Elephas maximus indicus: one gene and its partners. The protein of the gene in region 4 interacts with the protein of the main gene of each other region in a biochemical or structural test. Links are inferred from orthologs where the notes say so. Each region holds a gene or a part of one and is shown on either strand. Other genes may lie near its edges. The genes, in order: SLC16A7, DGKZ, GUCY1A2 and SNTB1.

Evidence for each region.
Region 1: the proteins of SNTB1 (region 4) and SLC16A7 interact in a test that uses a peptide from one of them, tested with the Homo sapiens proteins (2 studies listed by IntAct, with this or other methods). The link is inferred for Elephas maximus indicus from reciprocal best matches to the Homo sapiens genes SNTB1 and SLC16A7.
Region 2: the proteins of SNTB1 (region 4) and DGKZ form a complex in vitro, tested with the Homo sapiens proteins (2 studies listed by BioGRID and IntAct, with this or other methods). The link is inferred for Elephas maximus indicus from reciprocal best matches to the Homo sapiens genes SNTB1 and DGKZ.
Region 3: the proteins of SNTB1 (region 4) and GUCY1A2 interact in a test that uses a peptide from one of them, tested with the Homo sapiens proteins (2 studies listed by IntAct, with this or other methods). The link is inferred for Elephas maximus indicus from reciprocal best matches to the Homo sapiens genes SNTB1 and GUCY1A2.

The regions. Positions count from the first base shown.
Region 1 is NC_064822.1:119,685,470-119,692,888, reverse strand, and holds the start of SLC16A7 (monocarboxylate transporter 2), read right to left. Parts: upstream 3,008-7,419; 5' UTR 2,865-3,007; intron 1-2,864. UniProt on the Homo sapiens protein: Proton-coupled monocarboxylate symporter. Catalyzes the rapid transport across the plasma membrane of monocarboxylates such as L-lactate, pyruvate and ketone bodies, acetoacetate, beta-hydroxybutyrate and acetate.
Region 2 is NC_064825.1:101,845,800-101,852,632, forward strand, and holds the start of DGKZ (diacylglycerol kinase zeta), read left to right. Parts: upstream 1-3,830; 5' UTR 3,831-4,625; coding exon 4,626-4,679; intron 4,680-6,833. UniProt on the Homo sapiens protein: Diacylglycerol kinase that converts diacylglycerol/DAG into phosphatidic acid/phosphatidate/PA and regulates the respective levels of these two bioactive lipids.
Region 3 is NC_064825.1:12,795,952-12,802,946, reverse strand, and holds the start of GUCY1A2 (guanylate cyclase soluble subunit alpha-2), read right to left. Parts: upstream 3,019-6,995; 5' UTR 2,955-3,018; coding exon 2,664-2,954; intron 1-2,663. UniProt on the Homo sapiens protein: Has guanylyl cyclase on binding to the beta-1 subunit. Isoform 2 acts as a negative regulator of guanylyl cyclase activity as it forms non-functional heterodimers with the beta subunits.
Region 4 is NC_064833.1:21,924,159-21,931,797, reverse strand, and holds the start of SNTB1 (beta-1-syntrophin), read right to left. Parts: upstream 3,010-7,639; 5' UTR 2,845-3,009; intron 2,728-2,844; 5' UTR 2,672-2,727; intron 2,269-2,671; exon of another isoform or gene 2,144-2,268; 5' UTR 1,923-2,143; coding exon 1,349-1,922; intron 1-1,348. UniProt on the Homo sapiens protein: Adapter protein that binds to and probably organizes the subcellular localization of a variety of membrane proteins. May link various receptors to the actin cytoskeleton and the dystrophin glycoprotein complex.

The DNA of each region.
Region 1 (7,419 bases), on a different chromosome or scaffold from region 4:
ATAGTCGCTATATACTCTTGGAAACCCTGGGGGCATAGCAGTTAAGAGCTACAGCTGCTAACCAAAAAGGCTGGCAGTTTGACTCCACCAGGCGCTCCCTGGAAACTCTATGGGGCAGTTCTACTCTGTCCTACAGGGTCGCTATGAGTTGGAATCGACTCAACAGCAACAGGTTTGTTTTTGTTTGTTTGTTTTTTAATACTCTCAGGCTTCTAGAAGTGAGTGGATTAGTCTGTCTAAAGTTGAGAAGAAGTTGCAGCTCAGTTTCTTTTCTCCGTTCCTTGGCAAAGATGATCTTCAGAGGAGGAGTTCCTCCCTCCACTGCACAAAGAAAATCCTTCATTATCTGTTATATAGGGTCACTTTCAATGGGCAAAATATGGGGCTGATTACACAGATTTCTGGGGCAAGGTGCAACCCTTCCCAAATCTGCTTTTTAGCGGATCCTACAAGCATTTCTTACAACTGCTAAACTTCTTTCAAATTATTTGGGATATATGCCTCTTCCATGGAGAAGAGAAGGAAACTGACTGAAAAGCAAATGAGGTATAAGGAAGGTTAACCTGAATGACTAGATGTGAATTTCCAGACAGCAGAATTCCAACCTTATTCTTTTTAAAACCTCAGTGCAGTGTCTGGAATGATTTCAAGAGCTCAGAGATAGCTAGTCTGTACTCCAGGTGTTTTCCACACACATTATTTTATCCCTCACAGTACCACTTCAGGGTAAGTACCATCAATCCCATTTATGAATATGAAAACTGAAGCTGACATTGTGAGAATTACTCAATCATACAAATGTGCAGAACCAAGTCTGAAGTCTAGATCTGACAACTCTAAAGGTAATCATCTTTTTCCACTCCTCAAAAAATGTTTGGTGTATGAATGCAGAATTAAAAGCAAATTTAGGAGACTTCTTCCCCTTTCAGATCCTTGATCCAGGAATATATTCTGGACACAGGACATTTCCTTAGATCACTATACCCTCCTTCCCTTCAGGAGAGCTGGAGGCCAAAAATATAAGGCAGATATTATTTTTTTAAAAAAAGGAAGTAAATGCATGTCTAGAAATAAACTGAGCATTTACAGAGAGATGCACCAATTTCAACACAGAAAAGGGTGTTAAAATTTCAGATCACTTCAATTTCCTCTTGTGGAAAAAAAACAGTACAGAACTGCAAACTCTGGCTGTGAATATTTGCAAAGAAATGTTTCCAACTTGATGAGTTGTTACACAATACACTGAGTTGCTTAAGGTAAAAAATATCTTCCCTTTCACTGACATTACTCAGATGCCCCCTCACTTAGATTGGTTTTAATGTAATGTGCTCACAAGCAGAAAGCTGAGCTAGGATTATTTCAGCAAGGGTCACCTTGTTCAACCCTCATCTGCCCTCTGGAACTGCCACCCAGTTCTGATTTCTCAGCCACACTTCCCAAATGCACACTTAGTACTTGTGGTTTCAATGACACAGCACATTGAATCTAACGCAGCAGCTAAGTTTGCGACCTTCTGAGCTCACTTTGGGATTAACCATAAAGCGTCGAGTGCCAGGAAAGGGGAACTAATGCTCACGATTTTCTCCGGCTCAATCTTTTTCTCATTGCCTCATCATTTACCCGCTGAGTCTCCTACGGGGCCCAGGAAGGGGAAAAAAAAAAAAAAAAATACGGGGCCCAGGAAGGGGAGATGACTTGAAATATTAGTTTTCCCAGTGCCACCAACGCGCCCTCAAGTAACAAGCCCAGTTCTACTTCTCCAGGAAGGGTAGTCAATAAAACACTTGCAGAGAAACCGCTCCTCGTTCCCTCTCCTGTGCTGGGTGTGTGTATGTTTACTGTTAATTTCCCTGGAGTAGAACTACAAAATTTCCTTCCCAGCCCTACCAGGAAAGTGGCCTTGGCTTCCACCGCCCTTGCCAAGGCAGTCCGCAATCCTTTTCGCGGAAATAGCAAAGAGAAGGAATCGGAGCGCGCAGTTACGCCGCAGCATCTGCTGAGAGGCAGTTCACACGTGAGCGCCCTCGCCAGCCTATCGCGCCACCTGGCCGGGCCTGATGCCCCCTGCGCTGCGCTGCGCTGCGCCGGGGAAGACCGGCACGGGCCCTGCAGACGTAGGCCCTCTTTAGCTGCTTCTATGGCAGCGTGCCCCGTCTGTCCCGGCGCCCTCCTGGCCCCCACACACCTTTCCATCCGCCTCCGCCTCCGCCCCCTCCTTGCCTTCCGGGATCCGAAAAGGAAGAAAGATGCCTCCCTGATAGCTTCTCTCCTCCCAGCCTATCCGAGCCGCCCCAACAGCTGAGGTCAGCTGAAGAGAAGACAACCCTTACACCTCTAACCACCCACGTCCCAAGCTTCTGCTGCCAGGACGCTATCCCGGGTTGCACGTGGGCCGGGGCGGGATGCTGGTGAAGCGCGCGCTGGGGGCACGCAGAACGGGAAACAGCCTCCAGTCTCACGGGCCAAGGATGGGGGGGCGCACCGCGCCGGCAGTCTCCGGCCACGCACAGAGAGGGGGACATCTCCTGGTCAGAAACACGCAGGCGCGCGGGACTCCTCTCCGCCCGGGACCCCCCAAGGGCACACCGCCGAGACCAGGGAGCGCCCGCGCCCGGCTACGCCCCCGCAGCTCCCACGTCGCTGTCGGCGCTGCTGTCGCTAGCTCTCCTCCGGCGGCAGCTTCGGGCTTTTTGTCTATATAAGGGCTCGCTGGCAAACTTGGCGTTGGCGCGTTTGTCGCAGGCTGGCCATTATTTTTACACACGCGCGAGGCTTCCCGGGCGGCTCCGGTCGCAGTCCCACGCTCGCCTTCCTCTGCGCGGGCGCCTCCTGCCTCCTCCTCCCTTCCTTCCCGGTGTACTTACTTTACTCGGTCTCTGGCATAGGATGGGCGCTGCAGCTCTCGGGTCCCCCAGCCCAGCCGCAGCCGGTTCGCCTCGCTGTCACCGGGTGAATGGAATTATTTATTTATTTATGTCCCTTGACGTCTCCTCGCCGGCCGTAGCTGGAGGAGGAGGAGGAGGAAGAGGAGGGGGCGGGGAGGGGAGGCGCGGCTGACGAACGCCCTTGTGGGTGCCGTGGAGCGCGCGCCAGGGGGAATGGATGGGGGTTGGGGGAGAACGCTACTGGCTTTGCAGGAGCCCCACCAACCGTCGGGGGAGGAAGCCGCCCCTCAGTGACTCAGGGTGGACTGAGCATGCTCCAAGTGGCTGTCACCGCTACAGACACTTTATGGCTCGGGGCGCTCCACTTCGGATTTTAGTTGTGACCAAGAGAGAAAGCCAGAGACAGGTAGAGAGATCTCCTGTTCCTCATAGCTCGTGACACGCTTTATCTCGAGCCTAACGTCGGAGCCAGCGGTGAGGTAGCTCCGTTTTAGATACCCTAGGGAGACGTGCCACCTGTAGGAGACGAAAGCTTGCAATTGCAGAAAAGCCTGGAAGTGTGTTTGGCGGCGAAAAGATCCTCATTGTGAGCTTGGAGGGAAAGTGTTGGGACGTATTTTAATTGAGGGTTTTTGTTTTGTTTTTTAAGTAAGGAGAAGTAGGGGATTAGGCTCACCAACCAATTCATTCAAGAGAAAAAGAAAATGTACCGCAAGATCAGAAGAGTATAGGAAACCATAAAAGCTTAAAAATAGCAAAGAAGTGGAGGGAGGCCATTTGTAAATAATTAATTTTTAGGATCCCAAATATTTAATTCCTCAAAATAGAGCTAGCTATTTGACAATCAATAGTGCTAGGGATAATAGTAATTCCGCAGTCATTGGTTTGGTTTCTTTCCCCTTTATACATATATGTGTGTGTGTGTATGTGTGTGTATATATATAAATTTTTTTTTCTCCCGTGCCTGTATGTTTCCTGGGGAAGTTGGAAAAGAGGAAGGGCTGGAAACGAACATTTGGGTAACTCTAAAAGGTTGGACCCTTATGACTGTTTTTAAGGCTGAATTGTTATTTGTAGAAAAAGGAACTCTTCTTAAGAATAAATGTGGGCTTGGATTCCAGAACTATTGCAGTTTTTCTGCCAATTTTCCTTCCCCCACCCATTCATCCTCCTAAAAAATGAAAAAGGTAAAATGGTATGTTAATCCTAGATACTAATATAACTCACTCGAAGTTTGTAGGGTTTTTTCTAAAACTTAAATCTTTTATGTGAAGCCAAGGCAATTGAGCGAAAATAACCTGAACTTTGAAACCTAAGGGACTCAGAATCAAAATGGTAGCAATAATTATTACACTGATTTATTAAGTGCTTATCATTATCAGGGCTCCTGAGTGGAGGAAATGGTTAAGCACTTGGCAGTTTGAGTCCACCCAGAGATGCCTCATAAGAAGGACCTGGCTATCTACTTCAGAAAAATCAGCCTCTGAAAACTTGTGCAACACAATTCTACTACTGACACACATGGCGTCACCATAAGTCCGAATCAACTCCATGGCAATTGGTTTTGTTTTGTTTTCCCTTTTTTTTTTTAATCACTTTCTAAGCACTTATGTGGATTATCTAATAAAAAAAATAAATTAATAATAATACTCATTAAATGCATACTGTGATTATTCACAATTTATAAAATTGACATCAAAGAAGTCACTTGACCAAATTGTTACAAGATCTTCTGCCACAGATCATTTGTGGGCTCGGACAAATCTTGAATTTCAGTTTCTCTAGTTACAAAATAGAAATAATATCAGCTTTTTGTTGCTGTTATGATTTAAGTGAGATGATATATGTGAAGTGTCCAGCACATAATACAAGATGAATAAATGGTGGCCATTAATACTTTCAAATAGTTTGGAAGAGAGTTTTACAGAGAGAGGGGTAATTTGGAAACTAAGGAGCTAAGGCAGAAGATTCTAGAAAGGACTTTAATTTTTCTTATGCTAAAAAAAAAGGAGTAAATAGAGTTTATATATGACATAATAGGCGTTTGATAGTGCCGGAATGGAAACCCTGAATTTCCATGACAAAAAAGAACGTCAAGCCACACCCCTTAAACTTTCAAAACAAACAACAAAAAGACGTAGGTTTCAAGATCATGTTCTTGAACATTTACTATTCACTAATTTCCTGCCCGTTCACTTTGTTTATTTCTTTTGAAGAAGAGGGGGAAGAAGAAAAACCATCTATTTTCTGAATTTTGACCCTTTCTCCCTTTCCTTCTCTTTGCTTTTTCTTTTCTGTTCAGTTTTTTATAGCTCCATAGTTTTGGACCCAGTTAACCTCTTGCTCCACTCCCAAACAGCAGTACCCATATCACAGTATCATAGCCTTAGCAAGTTTTCTTTTTAAGTCTTCTTTTTCCGACAATTAAAAATCTGGATCCAATTTGCCTGCTGGCCCAGAGTTAGTATTTCGGGACTTATTTTTCAATCGCCTTGTTGCTACGGTAAGTCATGCTTTGTAAATATTTGGTTGGAGTAGAAAGGAATCTGAAAGGCGAAGTAGGTGGGAATAAATCCAATCACTTTATCCTGTGACTTATAGCCTTAATATTGTTTGAGAATTGAAAAAACAAAAATTCAGTTAGGGGAAAAAGCAAACCCTATGATCAGAATTTGAAATGCTTTGGTAGAATGCTTGGTTTTGCCTTGATTGCTATTCATAAGATGAATTAACAATGAGGGAAACAAAGAATAGTAACATATTCAATATTCTGGCAACTCACATTCCACAAGTAAGCTAGTAAACACGTATATAATATATAAACTAATAAAACCCAAATGTCTTTGACTGTTTTGGTTATAGACTCATCTGTCACTTTATACCACGGGCTCTTATTCTAGATTCTCTGTCCCTTCTTTGTGTTTTAGCTACGCTATGTCTTCTCACATTTCTCTGTCTTTTCTTACTCTCCTCCTTCTCCTCCATATCAAACTTGTCTAAGCTTTTCCCCACCCTTTTTAAAGCCCGGCAAATAATGTCAACATCTCTGCAGCTTTTCAAGGATTCCCTCAATTAGGAGTAATTCCATTTTACTCTGTGCTCCTTCCCATAGAACATGGTTTATGCTTTTGGGGGGCATATTTTCTTTCTGCCTCAAGTTATGGTTGTATTATAATAAGTTTTATTTAACTGTCTCCCCAACCACTTGGCTGTTTGAGGATAGAGATGACATTTTACTCATGTCTATATCCTCCAGTACCGAACACAAATTCTTGTAGATAGAAGGTCATCAGTAATTCTTGCTGAATGGAGGAAAGAGATGACCGTGTGACCTTAGGCAACAGGTACGTGACAGAGACTGTTGGTGCTCATGATATCCATGATCTGCCCTCTACAATTCTAAAGATAGACAGTAGACTTGCACTGGACATTGTGTGAGTGCGAAACCATCATAGATTTAAACCACTGAGATTTCAGGCATTATTTATCACCAGAATATGTTAGTCGCCGTCGACTCCCACTCTTGGCGACCCCATGTATGCAGAGTGGAACTGCACCAGAATATAGCCTAGCCTATTCTGACCAATAAGATGTTACTTAGTAAAATCACAAATCCTAAGGCATAAAAGTATGCTTATAAATAAGATTTATAAAGCATAAAGACCCATTTAAATATCGAGCTTAGGAGACTGCTCTGTGTTCTTAAGTCAAAACTAAAAATACATTCCCACCACCCAAAATTCATATAACAACCTTTTCATGGCAAGACTCTGTGAGAGCAAAGTGTGTGTGTGTGTGTGTGTGTGTGTGTAGAATACACACAAAAGATTGGTTTTAACCAAGGACAAAGATCAAATGTCCCAATATTCCCTGCGGCCTGAGTGAAAACAAACGAGCACCTGCCATCCAGCAGCAGCATACTGTGACCAAGATTGCAGCTGGCTAGCAGCTGCGAATATGATTGCTGTGGCCTGGCTTGATAGAAGGTACAAAGTATGGAAGAAGTCTTTCTACTGCTTCTAGGTTATTATTACAGAAGTACTGAGCACATCCATAGAGGCTACTTTGGAATTTCTATGGAAGCCTCTTATAAAATTACAGGAAATGCAAATCTGGTCGATTTTACAAAGCATGGGAAATGGGCTGCAACTGTGTTGAACATTGCTGTATGGCGTGCCTTTCAGTAAAATAGTATAGAGCGGTGTTTTACCAAAATAAATTAGTTTGGGGCCTCTGAAAATCTCTTAATGGGATCTGCATTTAAACTGTTGTCCACTCATGTCTTCCTAATTTTACATTTTATTTAATACTACCCGTGAAGTAACTTTACGGGCCATAAGTACGAATGTCTTATATATGCCTTCTTCTGAATATGCTAATTATTCTGAAACATAAGATTAAAAACTTAGATTAAGAATTCTCATCATAAACTAGAAACTTTTCAGACAGAGATCCTTTAAACAGTGACTTATAAGTATTTAATTTTCAACGAATTTTGTTGATTGAGTCGATGGTGACTAAATATAGTACCAAG
Region 2 (6,833 bases), on a different chromosome or scaffold from region 4:
CTGGAGGCGTTGAAGGAAGGAGGCAGTCGTTCATTCTACAAACCTTTCTCTAGGGCCTACCAGGGGCCTCAGGACATGAAGAAAGAGACTGGGGGTGTTCCATCAAGGAGCTCAGAGTTAGGGTCCCTGGCTCAGCCCCCAAGCCTCTGAGGCAACCCCTCGTCCCCTACTTGCCCACCACCCACACACTGTGACTTCGTGTCACCATATCCTGCTGTTAGGTGTCATAAGGAAGGCCATGGAGAGCATGGAGTGGGCAGTGGCACCTAGCCCCAAAAAGGGCCTCCAGCTGTCCCTCATGGGGCCCCTGGAGAGGAGAGGAAGATAGCTGGTGCGATCTCCTCGAGCCCAACAACAAGAAGTGGCCTGGGCCAGCCTGCTCCTATGGTCAGCCCTTGGGTGCAGTACTTGAGATAGGAAGCCCTTGTCTTCCTTGACGGCTTCGGCCCCTGCCCCTCCAAATTCCCTGTGCATTCCTTTTGTGCTGCTTCTGCAGTGGTAAAGACTGGACTCAATGTCAGGCACTGTGCTGGGTGGACCAGATGCACTAAGCCTGGCCCCACACCCCCCAGGAGAAGTGTGGATTTGAAAGAATCAGAGTGTCTAAGGGTCCAGCAGCAGAGGAGCCAAATGGGTAGTGTGGGGTTATCAGTGGGTGCGATGCCTTCTTGGCCGGGACAGTTGTGAGCAAGTGGGATTTTGACACGAGGTGGGAAGGGAGTCCCAGCCAGCGTTCTGGGCAGAAGGTAGCCATGTGCAGGGGCACAAGCCATGAGCTCCGCACAGCCAGACTGGAGGACAGCGAACTGATTGGCTTGGTCAGAGCCAAAGGTTTATGGCAAGGCATCATAGGCTAAACTAGTGCCACAACTGCGGAAACCATTTGCCGGGCTGAAGGGCTTAGAATTCACAGTGAACCTGTGGTCCTGGAAGTGCCCTAGATACTTTCAGAGGATTGGTGAGGTTAAAACAGTTTTCACTTATATCATCCTGAGACCAGAAGAACTAGATGGTGCCCGGCCACAACCGATGACTGCCCTGACAGGGAGCACAATAGAGAACCCCTGAGGGAGCAGGAGAGCAGTGAGATGCAGACCCCAAATTCTCATAAAAAGACCAGACTTAATGGTCTGACTGAGACTAGAGGAATCCCGGCGGTCATGGTCCCCAAACCTTCTGTTGGCCCCGGACAGGAACCATTCCCGAAGACAACTCATCAGACATGGAAGGGACTGGACAGTGAGTTGGAGAGAGATGCTGATGAGAAGTGAGCTACTTATATCAGGTGGACACTTGAGACTGTGTTGGCATCTCCTGTCTGGAGGGGAGATGGGAGGGGAGAGAGGGTTAGAAACTGGCAAAATTGTCACGAAAGGAGAGACTGGAAGGGCTGACTCATTAGGGGGAGAGTAAGTGGGAGTATGGAGTAAGGTGTATATAAGCTTATACGTGACAGATTGTCTTGATTTGTAAATGGTCACTTAAAGCTCAGTAAAAATTACTAAAAAAATTAAAAACAGTTTTCATAACAATAAACCCAAAAACCCATTGCTGTCCAATTGATTCTGACTCATAGTAGCCCTATAGGACAGAGAAGAACTGCCCCATAGGGTTTCCGAGGCTGTAAATCTTTACGGAAGCAGACTGCCACAGCTTTCTCCATGAGATGTTATTTGCCTGTGTTAACGTTTTTGTACTGATGGTGTAAAAATAATGGTGGGTGAAACCGCTGGAACCCTAACACAAAGCAAGGCAGTGGCCCCAGCGTGTTGGCAGTCACTGTATTCTTCTCTCCATGCACTTGCACTTGAAAGAAGAAAAGCAGTAAGAATTAACTGTAGAAAGTCGTGATGGCAGAATACTGTGTTTGTAGTAGTCTGTACGAAGACATGTGAATGTCCCCATAAAGGCCTCCTGCTGCAGACTATCCGTGACGGCTGCCTTAAGTAAAAGCCCTGTGCGGTTGTTTGTGTTACAAGCTGTTCTAGCTCCTTTTTTAAAATTTTTTATTTTTAAAGGAACACCATCTTCACTTGCAAGAACACCTGATAGACAAACTATTCAGACCTGGGTATTCGGCAGACGTTTTCTCGGTAATGAATGAGGTGAGCTTGTCACTTCCAAAACTGTCAGTACCAATGATAAAATTTGAGCCTTTGAGCATGAATCTGAATTTTAGAAACCTTGCATTCACTTTCTAGAGCCTGACAGCTTCCCAGGGCTTAAAGACTCTTCTGATGAGATCAGTAGTGGTGCTAGTAGGTATGATTTTTTGTGTCATAGAATGAAACGTGCCAACATTGGCAGATCTGCCGAACTCTAAGTAAACCGTATTTTCCACTGACCAGTGCTTGATGTTGCAGAATTCAGGGTGCGAGAATGAGCCATGAAAAGTTCCTTGATAGGGTTTCAGAGTCCACATTGCAGCTCAACTTTCAGAAACTACCATTTGTCACATTTTGGTGTAGTTGTAAAAAAGAGCATCCATAATTATCTGAAAAGGCTATTAAACTGCTTTTCCATTTTCTGACTCCATGTCACTGTGAGGCAGAATTTTTCTTCTCACACTCCAACCAAAACAGCATCTCAGCAGGTTGAATGCAGAAGCAGCTCCGCTAATCCAGATGTCTTCTGTTCAGCCAAACGTTAAACAGATTTACAGAAACGTGAAACCATGCCACTGTTCTTACTAATCTTTTTTTTTTTTTAGGAAACATAGTTTATTTTTCATAAAAGTATGTTATGTTCACCTGTAATGGGTTTATTACTGTTTTTAAATGAGTTAATAAATACCTTAAACAGTTCTCAGTTTTAATTTCTCATATGGTAAAATTAGTAGCTATAACCCACAGAAACAAAATCTCCTTAGGGTCTTCAAAAATTTTCAAGAGCATAAAGGGTCGCCATGAGTTGGAACTGACTCGATGGTAAGTGGTTTTTTTTTTTTTTAAATCCAAAGATCCGGAAGTTTGGGAACTGCCACTCTGGACCCTAGGGAGCCATGGCAGGAGTGTGAGTCAGAGAGTAGCATTCCAGGCAGGTGATACACATGTGGCACGAGTCGGGGCAGCTTGGAATGGCCCCCTTGTCAGGGCCGGACAACCCAGGCTCCAGGGTCCCAGCTCAGCCACCTCTGAGCTTGGGCAGTCACAGGCCTCCCCAGGTCAGGTGCCTCATCTGTTCCACCGGAAAGGTAACACTGCCCCCACAGGGAATGATGAGCCTCCCGTCTGATAATGCTTGTGTTGTGAAAAAGTGCTTTGGAGTTGTGAAAACACCCCACCGGTATTTATTTTTGTGGTTGTCTGGAGCCGGTGTGCTTAGCTGTCTCAGATGCTTTCCTGAGACTCTAGGAAATCTGTCCAGAGGACATGAGAGGGCGGCAGGTGGCTGGGCACTGGGCTGCACACCTGGCCTCCGCGTCTCCTGCCCTGGACCTTTTGTGGAGGGGAGGCTGTTGCGCTGTCACTTAGCCCAGCTCTGGGGACTTTAGGAACAATCAGAGCTGCTTGTGCCCGCCCACCCGCTGTCTACCCGCTGCAGGGCCTGGAGCCGCCGCTGGGAGAGGAAGTGCAGTTGGTTACCAGCTGGGTTATTTTCATAACGGCTGTCTCAGGCTGGGGGAGGGGGCAGAGGCGCAGCCACCTCAGCTTGCTGCTCTCCAAACTAGGACTTGCTCAGCCAGAGGCCGGCAGCACAATTGGGAGCAGAGCCGGGCTTGCCCACCCTGGGGACCACAGCCCCACCCGCTTGCCCACCTCCTGCGTGCCGCCCTGCCTTCCAGATCAGGTCAAAAGGGGCTCCCCCTCCCTCCCTTCCCTTCTGCTTCCTCCCTCCTGTATCTGCTGGGGTGGGCCTGGGGAGGGGTGGGTCAGGGTAGGCCCAGGAACCACCATCCTTAGGTGAGGGTCTTGCCGTGCCAGGCTTCTGAAGCTGATGGAAAAGGAAAGGGAAAGGACAAGGGGCAGGTCAGGCTCCTGCTCCCAAGCCAGGGAGGTAAACATTAACTGGCCTGGCCACCTCCTCTACCCCCTGCCTAGCCTGACCCTGTGGCCATGGCCCAACCGCCCGCATTGCCCATCTCTGTCCTGTTCTTAGCAGCATCTCTTTAGTGGGTAGATGCCTTGGGGAAGCCGAGACCCTGCCTCAGCGGCCCCCAGGTTGGCCTGGGATCTGCAGGCTTCTCCTGCAGCTGTACCTGCCTCCTCCCGTCCGGCAGGACCCTGGGGCTGTGAGAACAGAGACCCCCGAGATGGCTTCTGGCCAGCATCCTCCTGGGGAGGCAGCTCCAGGCCCTTCCTTTGGGGCTGCCGGAAGGGGCCACCGCCCACCATTCAGTGAGCATAGAGGCAGTGGGACCCTGCCCACAGCAGGGAGAGGGCACTCTGTGGAATCCCTCAGGTTGTCCTGTGCCAGCTCCTCAGGAAGAATCCATGGCCTAGGCCTGGTATCAGGGGAGGTGGGCATTCCTCACACATGAGCAGACAGACACCCAGGTGGCACTGGCTGCAGGCTCTGTTCCTCATGTGGTGGGTGGTGTCCACCCTGGGTGCTCCTGCTTCCCTTTCTTGGTTTCCCACCCCTGCAGTGGGCAGAGACAAACTCCAGGGGATGGCGTGATCCGCATGTGCTGGTGCCTGTGGCAGGTGATAGGCCCTGCCCTGCCCCTGCTCTGCCAGGTACCTTACATCCATCATCTCATCAGAACCCCCCTTATGCCACCCCTCTAAACTAGGTGGTATGATCCCCATTTTGCAGATGAGAAAACTGAGATTTAGGAAGGTTCGCTCATCTGCCCGTGATAACACAATGGTAAATGGCAGATGCAGGATTCCAAAGACCTTGGGCTTTTGCACTTGAAACTAGTATAGCTTGTGAGGGCACTCTGGACCAGGGGGCGAGGGGTCCTGTGCTTCCTGGCTAGTAGCTGACAAAGCTAGGGTACTCATGCCCTCTCGGCTGCCTGCAGCCACACTTGCTATTCTTCTTCAGGAGTGCTTGGCCAGGCACCACTGTCCTTTGTCCTCCCACAGGCCCTGCCCTCTCCAGACCCCCAACAACAGCTGGACATTGATGGGGCCCCCTGAGACCCTGTCCATCCTATCCACTCAGGCTTCCCCAGGCTCCCCACCAGCAGACTGAAGAGCAGCCATTTTGCTGGGCCATTGGTGTCGGAGCCCTGTGGGGCCTCCCCAGTAACTTTTACACATACTGTGTGGTATGTTGAAGGTGACAGAGAGGATGAGGTGGGGAGAAGCTATGCTCGGAACTGCGCTCGGGGAAAAAGCTCCAGCCTGGGTAGGGGAAGGGCCAGGAGAGGCCTGAGGCCAGGCTGGCTGTGACCAGACCCAGGAGAAGCTTCAGTAGAGATAGGAAGTCAGGAGTCAGGCAATTACTGACCAGAGGACAGAGGTTTCTGTGGAGACCAGAGGAACAGGAAGCATGAGGCCTGGGGGAGGGGACATCTGAGAGCACAGAGGCTTGAGGGCCTGGCCAGAGATCTGGTCGTACACTGTCATATCAGCTAGTCTAGCAGCCTCCCCAGACAAACAAGGAAACTGAGGCCCCTGAGGGGACACCTTTCCACATGGTCACACAACACTGGCCTGACCTGCCTCCCTGTCCACTGGGAGTGACTGCACCTTGGGCAGCCAAGGAGGCCCTGGACAGATGTGGGCTTGGGCCCCCTGGCAGCATGCAGGGTGGCACACTGTGACAGCATCTGTAAGCTACCACCTGTGTCATGAGGGAGTATGTGCAGGAACCCTCTTCCTCCTGGCCACCTTGCCAGTGTGGGTCTGGAACAGCAGGGAGGCCCAGCCCTCCCCACCACCCATAGAGCACCGACGGCACCTCCCCCACACTGACTGTGGCCTTTTGTTTTCTGGGTGACACTAGCATCAGGCGGTGTGTCCGGGTGACTAATCTCCAGGCTGGGCAGCCGTCACAGGGCAGCCTGACCAGACAGGCGGAGAAAGCTGACACCCTGGAGGAGCGCTGGCCAGCCAGTGTCCTGGCAGAAGTAGGCAGGCAGGCCTTCCGGTTCCTCTTCCCTGGATGCAGAGCTGACCCCTGGGCAGGCCTGACCCTGGCCAGCCCAGGGAGCAGAACCAAGCCAGACAGACCTGGCTCAGGTCCTGGCTCTGCCCCCAGCTGGCCCTGTGACCTTAGGCATGCTATTGCCCGCTTCAGGCCTCAGTGTCCTCATCTCTGTGACAGAGCTCTTGGTTCTACCTGCCTTACGGGGTCATGGTAGGGCTCCAGTGAGATGATAAAGTGCCCAGCCCAGAGCCTCTCACAGAGTAGGAGTTCAGTAAATGCGTGGTTATTTTTCTAACTGCGATTCCCATCCCTACTCCATTCCTCATGGTCCAAGAGGAGAGACCCTACTCTCTGTCCCATCTCTGGGGTGCAGGGGGCAGGCTTTGCCCTCAGATGGACTTAAGTTCTACATTGCCTCCACCCCTGTGGACTTTGGGTAGATTACCTCTCTGTTCCTCAGACTTAACACAGTGCCAGACTCAGCAAATGCCAGCCATGATGATATGGATTTTAGGAGGGAGCCATGTTCTCTGCCCTCCAGCTCTCCTGCCCTGGAGCTCAGACTGCTCTGCCCTTGTCCCTATCATCTGCAGGGTCTGGGAAGCATAACAGGCAGGGACAAGAGCCAGGCAGTATCCAACACAGCTTCCCCAGGCATGGCTGCCTCCACTGCTCACTAGTGAAAGGATGCAGACACCTCGGCCCTGTCCGCCTCTCCCTCGGTCTCCCTGCACTGTGCATGGCTCAGACCCACAGCCTCAGTAGGAAATCAAGACAGTGAGTGAGTGAGA
Region 3 (6,995 bases), on a different chromosome or scaffold from region 4:
AAAGAAAACGGGGATAGGAACACAGAGAAAAGAGTTCATTGCTTTGAAATCTAACTCTCTGTTTTCTTTGTGACACGAAGTCTACTGGTGACACCAGTGGCCAATGAGACTCTATTCAGACATGCACTACAATGTGGAAAATGTTTATACTATGTTCCCACCTGTAGGTTCCCAGCATTTCACCTGACAGACTCTTTTCAAAATAGAAATAAATTGGGGCATGTAAAGTACATGGGAGCTGTTGCATGTGTTTGATCATTGCAATTATTTTGAAATTTTTTACTCTGGAAATTATTAACTGATATATGTTTTTGATCCACCAAAAAGTCCAAGTCATTTGACTATTATTTATAAAGGTATCACACAGAGACCATTTCCTCCCTCTTAGTCTTCAGTAAAGGAGCCTGTTGGCGCAATGGTTAAGCGCTGGGCAGCTAATCAAAAGGTTGGAGATTGCAGCCGCTCCGCAGTAGAGAGATTTAACAGTCTGTTCCCATAAAGATTACAGCCTTGGAAATCCTATGGGGCAGTTCTACTCTGTCCTATAGTGTCGCTATGAGTTGGAATCAACTCAACCGCCATGGGGTTTTTTTTTTTTTTTTTTGGTATTCAGCAATAAATATCTGAGTTAGGCTTATTTGCTCTCATCCTCATCTAAGTTGTTGAAATTAGTCATAAGTTAAATTGGTATGGCCAGAGGCACCACTGTTACTTTTTGCAAATTTGTAAATTCTGATTCTTAGGCAAAAAGAAAACTTCAGTATTATTTTAAAATTCAGAAAAACCTAATAATCATCTTTAGTAAAATCACTGTATCAAATTTGAACCAAATATACTGAAGGAGGAGCCCTGGTGGTGTAGTGGTTAAGAGTTCAGCTGCCAACCAAAAGGTCGGCAGTTCAAATCCACCAGCTGTTCCTTGGAAACCCTATAGGCAGTTCTACTCTGTCCTATCAGGTCGCTATAAGTCAGAATGGACTCAACAGCACCTAACGACAGCAACATACTAAAGGATGAGTATCCCAAACTGCACAAATGCTGCTTTAGGTACAGACACAAAACTACAGCTGCACAAAGGGACTGGACTCCTTTTATAAAGGCTTATGTTCAATAATATGCAACACTAAATAGCTCCTAAGATTATGCTTCCTGGGAAATATTTGCAGTGAAGAAAAGCAAATAGTAGTCAACCCCTCCTGAGCTTTGTTTCCTAGGTTATCAATAAGGAAGGTAAATTAAAGGGAAAAACACACAAGAGGAAGATGACCCAAAGAGTAATTTCTCTAGTCAAGAAAATGCCCTTCTCCATTAGTGCAAGGGCCTAAACATTTTAGGACTACCTGGCACTAGGCAGAATCCTTCAGGATCCCACTCCTCTTCCATTCCTCCTACCATCTGCAAGAGTAGTTTTAAAAGGAAAACACAAAAGCAGTCAAACAAGATCAATGTTCAGGTTCATACCGGTAACTTTGAGGAAGTAAAAGCCTCAGGGTAGGCAAGTGAGAGTGCTGTCAGGAGTTAAAAGTCCTTGTAGCCAACCAAGGTCAAGGTGAGGATAAGTGGAGGATGGAAGTCTGACACTGAACAGAGAAAAGGAAGAGTGCAGGCAGGCAACATTTCCTTCTCCTTCAATTCCGTCTACACTAGAGTGGATTCTTGAAAACAGAGCTCACTCAGACAGGGAAAGACCAAAACAAGAGGTCTGGGATCCTGCAAACGGTAAAAGTCAAGGGTTGCTGAAAATGTCTGAGCAGGAATGAGGCAATATTGTTCTGGAAGGATGCCTAGAACCAGAGGGAGTCTGGTGTTCACCTGGAATTGCCGATACAGACATCCCTTAATGAGCACAAGTTTCAAGAGGTCCAGGAAGGCATGTATTCATTCAACAAATATTTGTGAAAGGAAGTCATGAAAGAAGGAGAGAAGGGAGCATGAAGGATGAAGTATGGATGCAAGAAATACCAGAGAGACTTAGAAAACCAGGCACCTAGTTTACACAGAGAAGGTGTAGCCAGTAAATGCCCAGTGAGTAGGACAAAAAGCTATGGGGTGGAGAGAAAAAGAGAGATTAGAGGTGTCTTCACGAGAAGGCAACTTAGAAAAGTATCTGACAGAGTTCCTGAAGATCTGAGAAAAGGGATGCAACGCTGAATGCATATAGCCTGTGGGATTCAAAGATGCCAGACAAGGTCATGCTAAGACCAAGAGAGTGTGGGAAAAAAGACAGGAAGGGTTTCCCGGAAGGAGCTGGAGCTCCTTCGGGATGCTGGAAAAGGGATGCGAGACATGTAAATGGAAACTGCGGAACAGAGACTGGGAAAGTTTGGGAGAAAGAAAACAGGTGGGTGTAAAGGTGCGGCAGGGGCTGAATGGGGTGACAGCGAGGAAGGACAGCTTAAAACCGGAGGTGGTCAGGCAGGCCCTCGGATCAGGAGACCCCAAAGAGTGCAGTCCTACTCCTTTCCCGTCCTCTAACCCCCCACCCCACCAGAGCCCAGGGGTTCGGGTCCCGCCCGGGGCCGCCAGTAACCGTAGGCCGGGCGGGGCGAAGCCGGGCCGCCCCCCAGCGGTGGGCTCTGCGCACGCCCCGGCTCGCCCTGCGCCAACTTTGCCCGGCCTGTCCTCTCCCCGGGAGCGCGGGCCCTCCTTCCGCCCCTGCTCACCGAGGGCGCCGTCAGGCGGCTGATGCTCTCGCCCAGCGAGTCTAGGTTGACCCGCCTCCGGCGCTGCGCCCTCCTGGCCCCGGCCGTGGCGGCGGCGGCGGCGGCGGCGGAGGCGGCCGGGGCCGGGGCGGCGGCGGCGGCGGCACGAGGCTCCGGCGGCCCGGGCGGGCTCCGGCTGCCGTTCCAGCAGAGCCTAGACAGGGGGCAGTCCCCCTCCTCCTCCGGGCTGGTCTCCAGGTAGTCGGAGCCCAGCGAGCTGAAGGACTCGGACGAAATCTTCCTCCGAGACATGCTGCGGGCGGCGCTGCGGCGGCCGAGGCGGCGGCGGCGGCGGGGACGCGGGCGGCGGCGGTAGCGGGACCGGCGAGCGGCGGCGTTAAGCGCGTCGGGGCCACGGGGCGCTGCGGTCGCGCTCGGTTGGGCGGGCGTCCCCAGGGCCGCGGAGCCCCCCGAGCCGACTGCTCATGGCGGGAACGGGGGGGAGCCGCCGCACCTTGGGGCCCGGGCGCGGTGGCCGCGCCGGGCTGGGCTGGGGGCCGCCGCCGCCTCTGCTGCTGCTCGCGCGGCGCCGCCTCAGCGCCCGCCTCGGCGCATCACCGTGCGCCGCGCTCCCGCTCGGGGAGGCTTCGCGTGAGACCGCAAGCGGCGGGGCGGGGAGGCTGCGGCCGGCGCGGACGGCGAAGCCGAGGCTTTTGCTGCCTGCGCGCCTATCTCGCCCCCCTTCCCTCTCTCTACCCGCCCCTCTCCTCCCGCCTCCCTCCTTCTCTCTTTATCCCCCCCCCCATGCTCTCCCTCCGCCGGTATCACGTGTCGCCATCATACTCATTGGGAGTCTCTGCCTCGCCTGTCGCCACGTTTCAGGAGCTATGAGGACACTTCGTTGCCGTCCTCTGCGCGCCCTCCTGCTCCCACCATCCCCTAGCTCTGAGGAAGAGAACACCGTGGCTCCGACCCGACCGAGGGGTCCAGCCCCAAACACCCTATACCCCAGGCCGGGAGAGGCAACCGGGGTGCAGACGGGCCCCGGCGGGCACTGGAGGGGAGAGGGGCGCGGGGCCGGTAGCGGGGACCTCCCTCTGGAGACACCTCGGAGACGCGTGAGGACACGAAGTGGGGGATTAGGGTCCATGTTTGTCCTTTTCCCGCCTTCCTCCGAGTTTAATTGGAAAGTTCCGATGCGGAGGGGAAAAACTGAGCGGTCCAGCCCGCCGATTCCACAGGACACGCTCCAGTGGAAGGGAAGGGCAGGGGCAACATATTGGCGCCCATCCGGCTGGAGCAGCTCTTGGGAACACGACTCTTTTGCGTTCCCTGTCTCGAGCGAGGCCTCGTGGGCGCGCAGGGAGCTCAGGGCGGGAGACAGTGAGTGAGGGAAGGGTCTGCTCCGAAGGAGCCCTGTTGCTGAGCCTCAGCCTGGCGGGCGCGCTGGGCGCCTGGCTCCCGCCGGTGGCTGGTGGGCTCCGCACTAGTGCTGGACAGCTCCCCTTGCCACCTGCAGCCGCGTTCGCTGACGTCTCGGGCAGAGGCGCTCGCGCAGTTTCGCTACAGGCTCCACTACCTAGGACCGGGCCCGGGGGGAGGCCAGGGAGTGATGCCCGGTCCCTAGTCTGCTGGGCTCTTGGCGCCAAATATGCGATTCGTTTGCACTGGGCTACAAATGCTGCTCAAAATGCAAGAGTGGAGAGAGGGGAAAGGCTTTTCAAAGCTCAGCAACAGACACACCACAGCGCGAGCACACCTCTGGCCGCCAGTTTGCCGCGGAGCTGCTTTATTCCAAAGCTTGCTTCTTTGCAAACCAGCAGTCGCTCCCAGCGTCTGGCTCCACTGCGCTTGCTTTAGCCCCAGAAGAGCCTTGGTCGTTCTGCCCTTAGGGTAAGGAGTAGAAAGAAGGGGCCAAATAAGAGTGTCTCAAAAGAGGAGTCTAGGCTGCGCTTCCCTCTGTGGCAAAAAAGATGAGCGTCCTCCATCTTTCAGCGTCCCCCGCCTTTCCCTGCCGCCCGGAAGAAAAGTTCAGTGGCTCTGACTTCAGCTTCCCAGACACACAGAGGCCAATGCGCTTTCTAAAATGCTGGTCCTTCTAGGTGAAGACAGATGGGTTTGCGGGTTGCATTTATAAAAAAGAGAAAAAGCAAAACAAAAAAAAATGATGTGCATTCTTTCTATTTTGCTTTTAACTCTAAATGTTCCCATTGTTTATGAGGACCCAGATAAATGAGAATGTTTCAAGTTTTTTTTTTTTTCATATACTTTGAAAAAGTCCACTCAGCCTTATTCAGAGACGTATCTTATTCCCAGATCTTAGATGGAAGTAAAAGATGTTAAAAGTGTGTACTATCGAACACATTCTTCCCTTCAAAAAAAAAAAAAAATTCTTCAGCCTGTTGATTAAGTTGCTAACTGCATAGCTAGTTTCTCAGCAGAGGAAATTCAGAACAGGAGGGGTTTTTTTTTAACATTTTAATTGTTCTTAGGTGAAAATTTAATTTAGACATAAATTGTTCTGACATTGATTGCAGTCCCTGCAATGTGTTAGCACTCACCCCCCTTCCACCCCAGTTCCTCATCTCCATTCCTCTGGTTTTCCTGCCACTTCCTGCCTTCCCAGCCTTACTTTGGAGCAGGTGTTGCCCTTTTGGTCACCTGTACTTGATTGTTCCTTGCAGGCGTTATTGTTTGTTTTATAGACTTGTGTAATATTTGGTTAAAAGGTGGAATCCATGAGTGGCTTCAGTTCTGAATTAGAAGGGTGTCTAGGGGCCATAGTCTTGGGGGGTTCCTGTCAGACCAGTAAGTTTGGTCTTTTTTTGTAAATTTGAATTTTGTTCTACATTTTTCTCCTGGTCTGTCCATGACCCTCTATTGTGATCCTGGTCAGAGCTGTCAGTGGTGGTAGCTGGGCACCATATAGTGCTTCTGGTATGAGGCTAGTGGAGGCTGTCGTTTATGTGCTCCATTAGTCCTTTGGACTAATTGCTTCCTGGCTTTCTTCATTCACCTTTGCTCTGGTCAAGATGAGACCAATAGTTGTATCTTAGATGGCTGCTTGTAAGCTTTTAAGACCTCAGACACTACTCACCAAAGCAGGAGGTAGAACATTCTTTTCATGAACTGTGCTATGCCAACTGACCTAGGTGTCCCCAAAGACCAGGTCCCCTAGCAGGAGGGCTCTCTTTTAAAATAAATGTGTGGCGTATCTACTTGAGATTTCTCCATTACTTCATTCTATTTGTTTCCATGGCAATTATGCACAAATTACACTTTTTTTAAGTAAAGACTAGGCATCAAGCATCAATCCTGCTAAAAACTTTGACTGGCTTTTTTTTTTTTTCTGAATTAGAATGGATGGTTTCTTTGAAAATTATATTATTCCAGCTTTGGGGAAACTGTTTAATATTCTTGTTGTGCAGTATCAATGACAGGATAAAAATCGGAGTTCCTAGTTCTCTTATTTAGTTATGATAATTTAATTGCCAAGTTCTCTAGAATCATAGAATCTTAGAGCTATTATTAAGGATATTAAATAGCATATCCCCTTCACATTCTTTCAACAAACTACTGTTGTGCATATACACACATACAAAATTCTAATTATGGTAATGGCAAGTAACTTTTTCATTGACCTTGGAACAGGAACTTTTTCCTAATCATTCTAACTCTTGTCTCAAAGTCAAATTACTGAGTGCAAGGCAATGAGTGTCATTTGTTCCTAAAATTTACAAGAGGCTCAAGCAGTCTTCCTGTTTATACTGAACATTTATTGCCAGAAAGAACTCTGAACTTAGGAGGAATTTTTTCCTTTGTGTAAACCATTTGAATCAAAGACTTTAGAGAATCTAGCCAGATGAAGTGGTCTTACAATTTTCTGTATGAATTACCCTGCCTTTGATCATGATTTTCCCACTGCTTTTGCAAACTATAAACAGAGGCCTAGATGTAGACAGTATATCATCTGCATTGCTTTTAAGGGCTTCCTTTGTATTCCTGTTCAGTGGCAGAGTTCAAAAGCTCTCAATATGAGGAATGCTGTCTACTATACTTGAATTAACATTTTTAAAAGGCAGCATAACCTAGTCTCCATCAAAAAAAAAAAAAAAAAGTTCTAGAGCTGGTAAAAGGAGTCCAAACACTTTAGGCAAAGAGTAGTCCATTGAAAATGAATAGCCTGCGTTCTGATTTTAGGAAACCAAGCTCACACAAACTCATGCCCACAAATCTGGCCCTGTTAGATATATGGTGTTACAATGAAGTCCTTAACATACAGTCTTCTCTTGGAAAAGGAAAATGCAAGAATGTACTTGGTTTGTTGGTACAGTTGGTGAGGACACCCGAGGA
Region 4 (7,639 bases):
CAAGCAAACAAAAAAGCTCTGTATTCTAGGCCTGGAGGTGGGCCACCATGTACCAGGGAGTTGCACTGGCTGTCACTCGTAGCAAAGTTGGTTTCCCTACTTTGAACTTTCTCAGTTTCACACACCAGCACTGCCACGAGGTGAGCAGGAAATTGATTTATGTCCTTGGTTCAGGACTTCAATCAACCACCAGTTTACAAAGTCGCTGCTGACATGTTCTATTTCCGTGGCTAGGCATTCATTTATTCACTCACTCAGCACGCATGCTGGTGAGCACGTAAGCTCAAGGGAGGCCCAGAACAGATAAAAGACCCCCAGACAACTCAATCTCAAATTAGGGGGTGGCTGGGTAAGGAACTAAAAGAATACAAGGTTAGTGCTGACAGAGGAGGTATGTACAAAGAGCCGAGGAGCAGAGAGCCAGATTCCAAATGAGCAATGTATCTGCAAAGGGAAGGAAAATGAATTATGGGTTTACTACCCTATTGCCCTTCTCTTCCACATATCCACAAACATTAAACTGTTATTCCTATCCTATTCATATTCAATCCTTAGGGGACTGGGAGCCTCTGATCTCATGACAGAAGTTTCTAAGGCGCCTAACAAGTCGGGGAAGCTATTTAGAAATGCAATGTTGTTTCCACACCACTCCAAAACAAGCCGGGGAAAATGCAGGCAGAAAAAAAAACCACTTCTCCAGCCAGAGCAACCTGGAATCCAGACTGACCGGCCCGGCACCCTGCAGGACAAGTGAACTGGTGCATAAAACTGCGCCGTATTCCTCAGCCCTTGGCACAACTCCCTAGGCATAACCCCAGTGTCCAATTTGCAGGAGAGACAGGGAGAAGAGTGATTGGAATTTTAGCATTCTAACGTTGCCACCTCTCTCTGGCCTCTTTATGATTCAACCTCTTTCAGTTGGGTTACCCAGGCTTCTAAGAGGGAAATTTTCGTTAAAGCGGAAAAGTTGGACCCACTTTGCTACGTGGATGGGTGAATGTGTCTGAGTCTACCCTTCGCTTCCCGTTCCAGTTCCCAGCCTCTCCACTACACTCGGATTATTCCCAGGTAGAATGAGACAGCGTTCACTAAGCACTCAGCCCGTGCGTGACACGCAGTCGGGGCTCAGTACACCCTGCTAGCCTTGCCTTTTCACACACACCCACTGGGTCAAAGCCTGTCACCACTCTAGGCGCTGGAGAAGTTACCCCCAGGTGGGTAAAAGTTGTCGAAACTCCTGGCCACCTGTCCTCCCCATGCTCCCGGGATGTGAGAGCCTGTGGGTGGTGTGAGTGTGCCGGTGGGTGTGGGCGCGCCTGGCGCATCCCACGCCGTGTTAACCCCTTACCTTCCAGCAACACCTCTTTGCCCGCGCGCTTCAGCGCCTGCACCGCCTCGTCGTGGGTGGCGTCCCGCAGGTCAGCTCCGTTTACCGACAGGATGGCGTCGCCCACGTACAGAGCTTGTGTCTGGTCCGCCGCCAGCCCCTTGAAGATCTTGCTGATGAGGATGGGCATCTTATTCTCCTTGCCCCCCTTGATGCTGATGCCCAGTCCGCCCAACTCTTGCTTCAGCACCTTCACGCCGCGCTTCTGGTTCGATATAGCCTCGGGCACCTGCTCGGGCAGGTCGGTGAAGGCAGTGCGGACCCCCGCTGGCGAGTCCGGGGGTTGCGCGCCGCCCGCGCCCGGGGGCCCGGCGCCCCTGCAGAACGAGCCATTGGTGGCGGTCCCGGGGCCGTTGTATGCCGCCGCGCCCTCCTCGCAGCTCAGAACCAGGGCGTCCTCACTCAAGTTCACCAGAACTTTGTGCCAGCGATCCCGCACCAAAACTTCCAGCAGTCCGCTCCGCTGCGCCCGGCCGCTTCCCGCGCCCGCCGGCCCGGTCGTCACCGCCGCCGCCGCCGCCGCCGCTACCGCCATCTTTCCGGCATTCTTAAAATGCCATGTGATTGCAAAGCGGGGAAAAGTGGGGAAGGGTGGGGCGGGGGCTGGACTCTGGGCCTGGGGGAGCGCAGAGGGCGCGCCCGCGGTCAGGAGGCGGGACGCGGGACTCCGCTCCGGGAGCTCGGAGACGCGCTCCGCGAGTTGGCAGCTGGAGCCGGGCTCACTCCCCTCGCCTGATCCTGGGCGGGGTGGAGCCTCTAAACGAAGAAGGCGAGAAAGAGACGGGGGGAAAAAAACCGCTCTCAATTGCAAAACCCCAAACCCAGGGGCGCCGCGGCACAGTGAAGCGCGCGCGGGGAGAGTGGCAGGAGGAGGCGCGCTCGCGGAAGGGCGGGGACTGCCAGGCAGCCGCTCACCTGTTCCAGCGCCGCAGCTCAGCGGTCGCCCGCCGGCTCCGACTCGGTCCGCCTCCCCTTCGGACCGCGTGACGGCGAGGACCGCTTCCCGCGCGCCTTCCCAGTCCCACTTCTCTCTGCCCGGTCCCAGCCCTCCGTCCTCAACTCTCCCTTCTCCTCAGGCCCCCACCTCGCAGCTTTGCCGGATCTGTGTGTCTTGCCTGAGCACTTTCACTCCATCCTCCTGATCCCGCTTCCCTTTCACACCAATGTGGAATTGTCCCCTAGTTTTGTTTTTTGTTTTTTTTTCCTTCCCCCAAGTGTACCTGAACCGGTCTCCTCTCTCTGACTTCCTCAAACCGAGGCTTGCCTCCTCTGCTAAGTTCTTACCTGGCTCGTCTCTCCTCAAGGAGTCAGGAGGAAGGCAAACCGAGGCCCTGGGCTCCCTGAGAGTAAGGAAAAAAATGTAAGGAGAGAAGGCTATTCCAAGAACCCAGAGTGAAACGTCAGTAGAATCGAGCGTCCTACGCCTCCTCTCCTTAGATGTGGGATATCTTTCTTACCCGGCCTCTGGAGAGGAGTCTCTGCTGGCCTGGGCTCCAGCAGGTCACTGCCTGCCCCAGACTCCAAGGAGAAATGCTCGTCCATCTCTAACACATTAAATGGTCTGCGCTTCTGATCTGTGTTTTCCCCCCAGGGCCACACCAAATGCCTTCTGGAGCTTTCACTTTCTTCCCAAGATCCAGTACAGGAAGTCTCCCAGTTTAAGAACTCAGTTGCAGTGGGTTGTATCTCAAAAGTTCCTTTACAGGTTACTTGCTTGGAGCTAAACCATTGTCTTTCTAGAGTAACAATATTATAATTATTGGTTACCTTTCCAGGCCAATCCAGAAAAGCCAACATAACCCATGTTATAGCCAACCTCTCAATGTCCTCCTGGCAGGGGGGCCACAGGACCTTGAACCTCTCTGGTTCTCCACCCACCCAAAGCAAGCCTCGTGGGCCTGTCAAAGTGTTCCACACTTCTTATTTATCTCCCCTTCCTACATTTCTCTCCCCTCTCTGCAATAACAAAACATAACTCGCAATTCGGTGAGTTCCTCAGGGTTAAACCCGGTGAAGCAAGGTGTCAGGAGGAAGAAGCCTCATAGAACAGGTTCACATTGACGTGTAGCAGCATCATTGGAAGTTCTCGGACCCTTCCAAGAGTTACTCTTTTAATCAAGGATGCTTAAAACTGAGACGAATCTCTAAAGCATGGAGTTGCAGGCAGGGTCACAGAAGAAAATGAACCTTTTTTTTTTTTGAGCTGGGAGAAGCACTGCAGACTGACAAGGAGGAGCCTTTGGATGGCTACTTCTGCTTGGAGCTCCCACCTTTTCTATAGTTTTTTAACCAGCTGGTTTTCCAAGGCTCTTTATTCTTTCGTGCAAAGGCCCCCTACAGCAGGGACAGCAGCCACAAGGACCCTTTAGCCCTCCGTGTGCAGGATCAGCAGGGAGCTGATGTAGGCAGTACCACTGTCCGGGGAAAGTCAGCTAGGGTTTGCCGTAGAAGCTTCGGACTCATACACATCACTGTTCAGGGAAAATTAAAGCCTGAGCGCTTGTCTTCTAACCAAAGCAAGGGAAGATGGGAGTAGGCACTAGAATGCCAGTGTGTTTATTTAGAAATCCAAAGAAAGCCGACCCTGGACCAGAAAGCTGCCGTCAACGTCGTGTCTGCATCTGCTCCCTGTGGACAAGCAATGTGGGAGGCCTAGGCACAAGCAGAGATAATTTATTGATTTGTCATGAGAAATTACAGGCTCTGGGTTGGGAAATCCTCAGCATCTCTATGATTAACACATTTTTTTCCCCTGTGGAAGGAAACCTGCATGGGAAGAGGTAGGTTGCTTATTGAAAGTAGCACCAGAATGAGGGGAGTCTGTTATTTAATATAAATTAGGCCTGAGACATGCATCTTAGCCAGAGATGGCTTTGCCATTGTTCAAGGTGCTGAAGATAGTAAGTACCTCCTGGAGTTCCAGGGAGGATTAAATAAGTTAATAAGTACTAACTTACTTTTTTTTTTTTTTTTTAACTTACTTAGTATTATAGTTATATTAACTTAATATGTGTAGTTATATTAACTTAATACGTATAGTTATATGAACTTACTTAATCCTCCCAGCAACCCCAGGAGGTACTTATTACCTTCATCACTCCCATTTTGCCAGTGAAGATATGGAGAGGTTTAACAACTTGTCCCTGTCGTGTAGCAAGTGCAAGCCAAGGTTTAAAGCCAGTCAGTCTGACTCCAGAGTCTGGACTCTTCACCATTGTCCTACGCTGTTTCTTGAAAATACTCAGAACATGTCAGCTACAGCCTTTATGTCCATCTGTACACAAGGCCAGCCTTTCCACTGGGGACAAAGCACCACGGGTGAAAGCCCCTTCTCCAGGCAGTATGTGGAAGAGTAGAGCCAGCAGTTTCCATGACCTCTTCTTTCCAATATTAGAGGACACGTTATTGACACTTTTTTTTTTTTTAGACACGCTGATGCATTGATACTGGCGACTGCTGTCCTTCTGGCCTTAGAGGCCATGTCTTGTCCTGCAGACCACTCTGCGTATCTGGACCCTGATTATTAACACCGACTCTCAAAGGGAAACAGTATTTACCTCATTTCTTAATTCTTGGGGGGCTGCTTCACTGTGGCCCCATGATACTTACACTTAGGACAGATTATACTCTCTTGTGAGGCCTTAGTGGTTCAGTGGTAGAATCCTCACCATCCATGCAGGAGACCTGGGTTTAATTCCCAGCCCACGCCCCTCACGCACAGCCACCACCTGTCTGTTAGTGAAGGCTTGCAAGTTGCTATGATGCTGAACAGGTGTCAGCAGAGTTTCTCAACTGAGACAGACTAGGAAGAAAGGCTTGGTGATCTACTTCCAAAAAATCAGCCAATGAAAACCTCATGGTCCACAATAGTCCGATTCCCAAACAATCAATGGGATGATGCAGGACCGGGCAGTGTTTTATTCCATTGTTCAAGGGGTCACCATGAGTCAGGGTGATTCAACAGCAGCTAACAATGCTCTTCCCTTTTAAAAAATGGTCACTGTAAAGAACTTAAGAGACCTCAACTCCCTCATTTTATAAGGTGTGCATATATGATGAGAGAGGGCAATACCAACTCAAGGCCACATGGTATGTTTGTGGCAAAGCTAAGCCTAGGTCTGGGTTACCCTGACTACCACTCCAACTTCACTATTCCAAAAAATATACCTGGAATCACCTTTGTCCCCCTTTTTTAAACCAGGTTTGTTTTTGCTTAGGCCTGTTTCCTATTCTGTGTCCTTCTTCTGTCCTAAGCTTTTGACTTCCCTTTCCATCCAGCCAGAACCAGGATCCTGCTATACCTTTTTCTGTGGGACAGACATTTTCTCACAGGTTTTGGGTGGACTTAGACTTGAGGAGCAGGTCACACAATCCTCAGCTTCACGGGGGCCAAGGGTGCATGAGAGAACAGCAGCATGTGGCAGAAGGAGCAGTCTACACCCATTTATTCCACAGTCCTGTTGTGCACCTACATGTCCCAGGTACTGTTTTAGGTGCTGGGATTTGGCAGCAGACAAATGGGCAACAACCTGCTCCCCGAAGCTCACGTTGCGGTGGGTGGTAGAGTGGAAGTGGAACAGACTGTAGATGCATACATAAAATACTTCCGTGTAGAAGTAAATGCCATGAAGAAACTAAAACAGAGTAACAGGATCGAGAGTGACTGGGGGCAAGGGCTCCTGGGGGCTATGGCTGTCAGGAAAGCCTTTATGAGAAAGTGCCATTGGACTGAGACATGAATCACAAGCTGAAGGAAGTCTGGTGGAAATCCAGAGAAGAGGCTTCCAGGGAGAAGGAAGACCCAATGCAAAGCAGCTGAGACAGAACCACCCTTGTCTGGTTTAAAGGACCAAAAGGAGGTCAGACTGGCTAGGACAGCCCATGGGAGGAGGATGAAGGCAGGAGAGGAGATCAGGAGATGGGCTGGACCAGATCACATAGATAACGCCTTGTAGGATAACCACACAGGCCATCTGCTTGTTCCCTTCAAGCTTCAGCAACCACACTGGATTTTCAGGGACAGTCCCGACTTCAAATATTGCTTTCTCTTAGCCCTTAAGTAAACTTCTACTGGTTTGAACATGTCCTCCAGTACTTAGATTTGCAAAATATGATCATTGTACTTTTGGCACTTTTGAATGAAGAGTTGGTCGAACATCTTTAGGGGAGATTTTTCAAATCTATGGTATGAAGAGTGGATACGAGGTGAATAGTGCAGAAGAGGAAATGGAGTACTTTTTTTTTTTTTTTGGATAGCTGGGTGTAAATTAGAGAACAGCATGAGAAAAAAACAGGAGGGATGCTTGGAAAGCAAAACTCCTAAGGCAAGGCCTGCCTGTGTCAATACCTGTTGACTAAACCTTTACCAGGAGCCCTGGTGGCACAGTGGTTAATCGCTCAGCTGCTAATTAAAAACTTGGCAGTTTAAACCCACGAGCTGCTCCTCAGGGGAAAGATGCCGCAGTCTGTGCGGCAGCTCTACTCTGTCCCATAGGGTTGCTATGAGTTGGAACCGACTTGACGGCAACAGGTTACTCTCGTAAAGGACTAAGGTAGGTGCTGGAAGCAGGTGCACCCAGGAATGCAAACACGATTAAGACAGGAAGACAGATACGTTCACAGAGAGTGTGCTGAGTGTGAAAGGCATATGGAAATCACCACCCTCCAGATTCTAAATCATAATACTGAGGTAATGATTCTTATTTTAGAGGTGAAGTTCTAAGGCTGAGGAACAATGCATGAATGGAAGGCTGAGCAGATGTTTTCTTCTCTGATGTGCCCCAGACAGCCAACAGGTCCATCATCAATTGGTTGGGAAGCACTCTGCATTGCCACTCCCCAGGTGGGCCCTTGGTAAACTAGAAAGACTATTGCCTAGACTATCTACCAGCCAGTCATTCAGGTGAGAGGATTTATTTCATGGCTCACTGTGTTTAGAATTTTGTAGTGGGGACTTTTGCGGGAGCAGGGCTAAGCCAAGGCAGAATAGTCAAGTTGTTGTTGTTGACGGTTGCCATTGGGTCGATTCCAACTCATGGTGGCCCCAAGTAGTTAGATGTTTATCCTCTGCCTTCTCTTTTTGAATTCCATTTCTTTCACATCTAGTCTATAACAGCCTGTTATTGAAACAAACCATATGCTAGTCTTTTTATATCTCATGGTATATATTAAATCATTATTCCTAAGGGGCTATGTGTTTCATCCTTTTTTTAACGATATGTTGGTAAGTTAGACCCTATTTTAAAAACACGT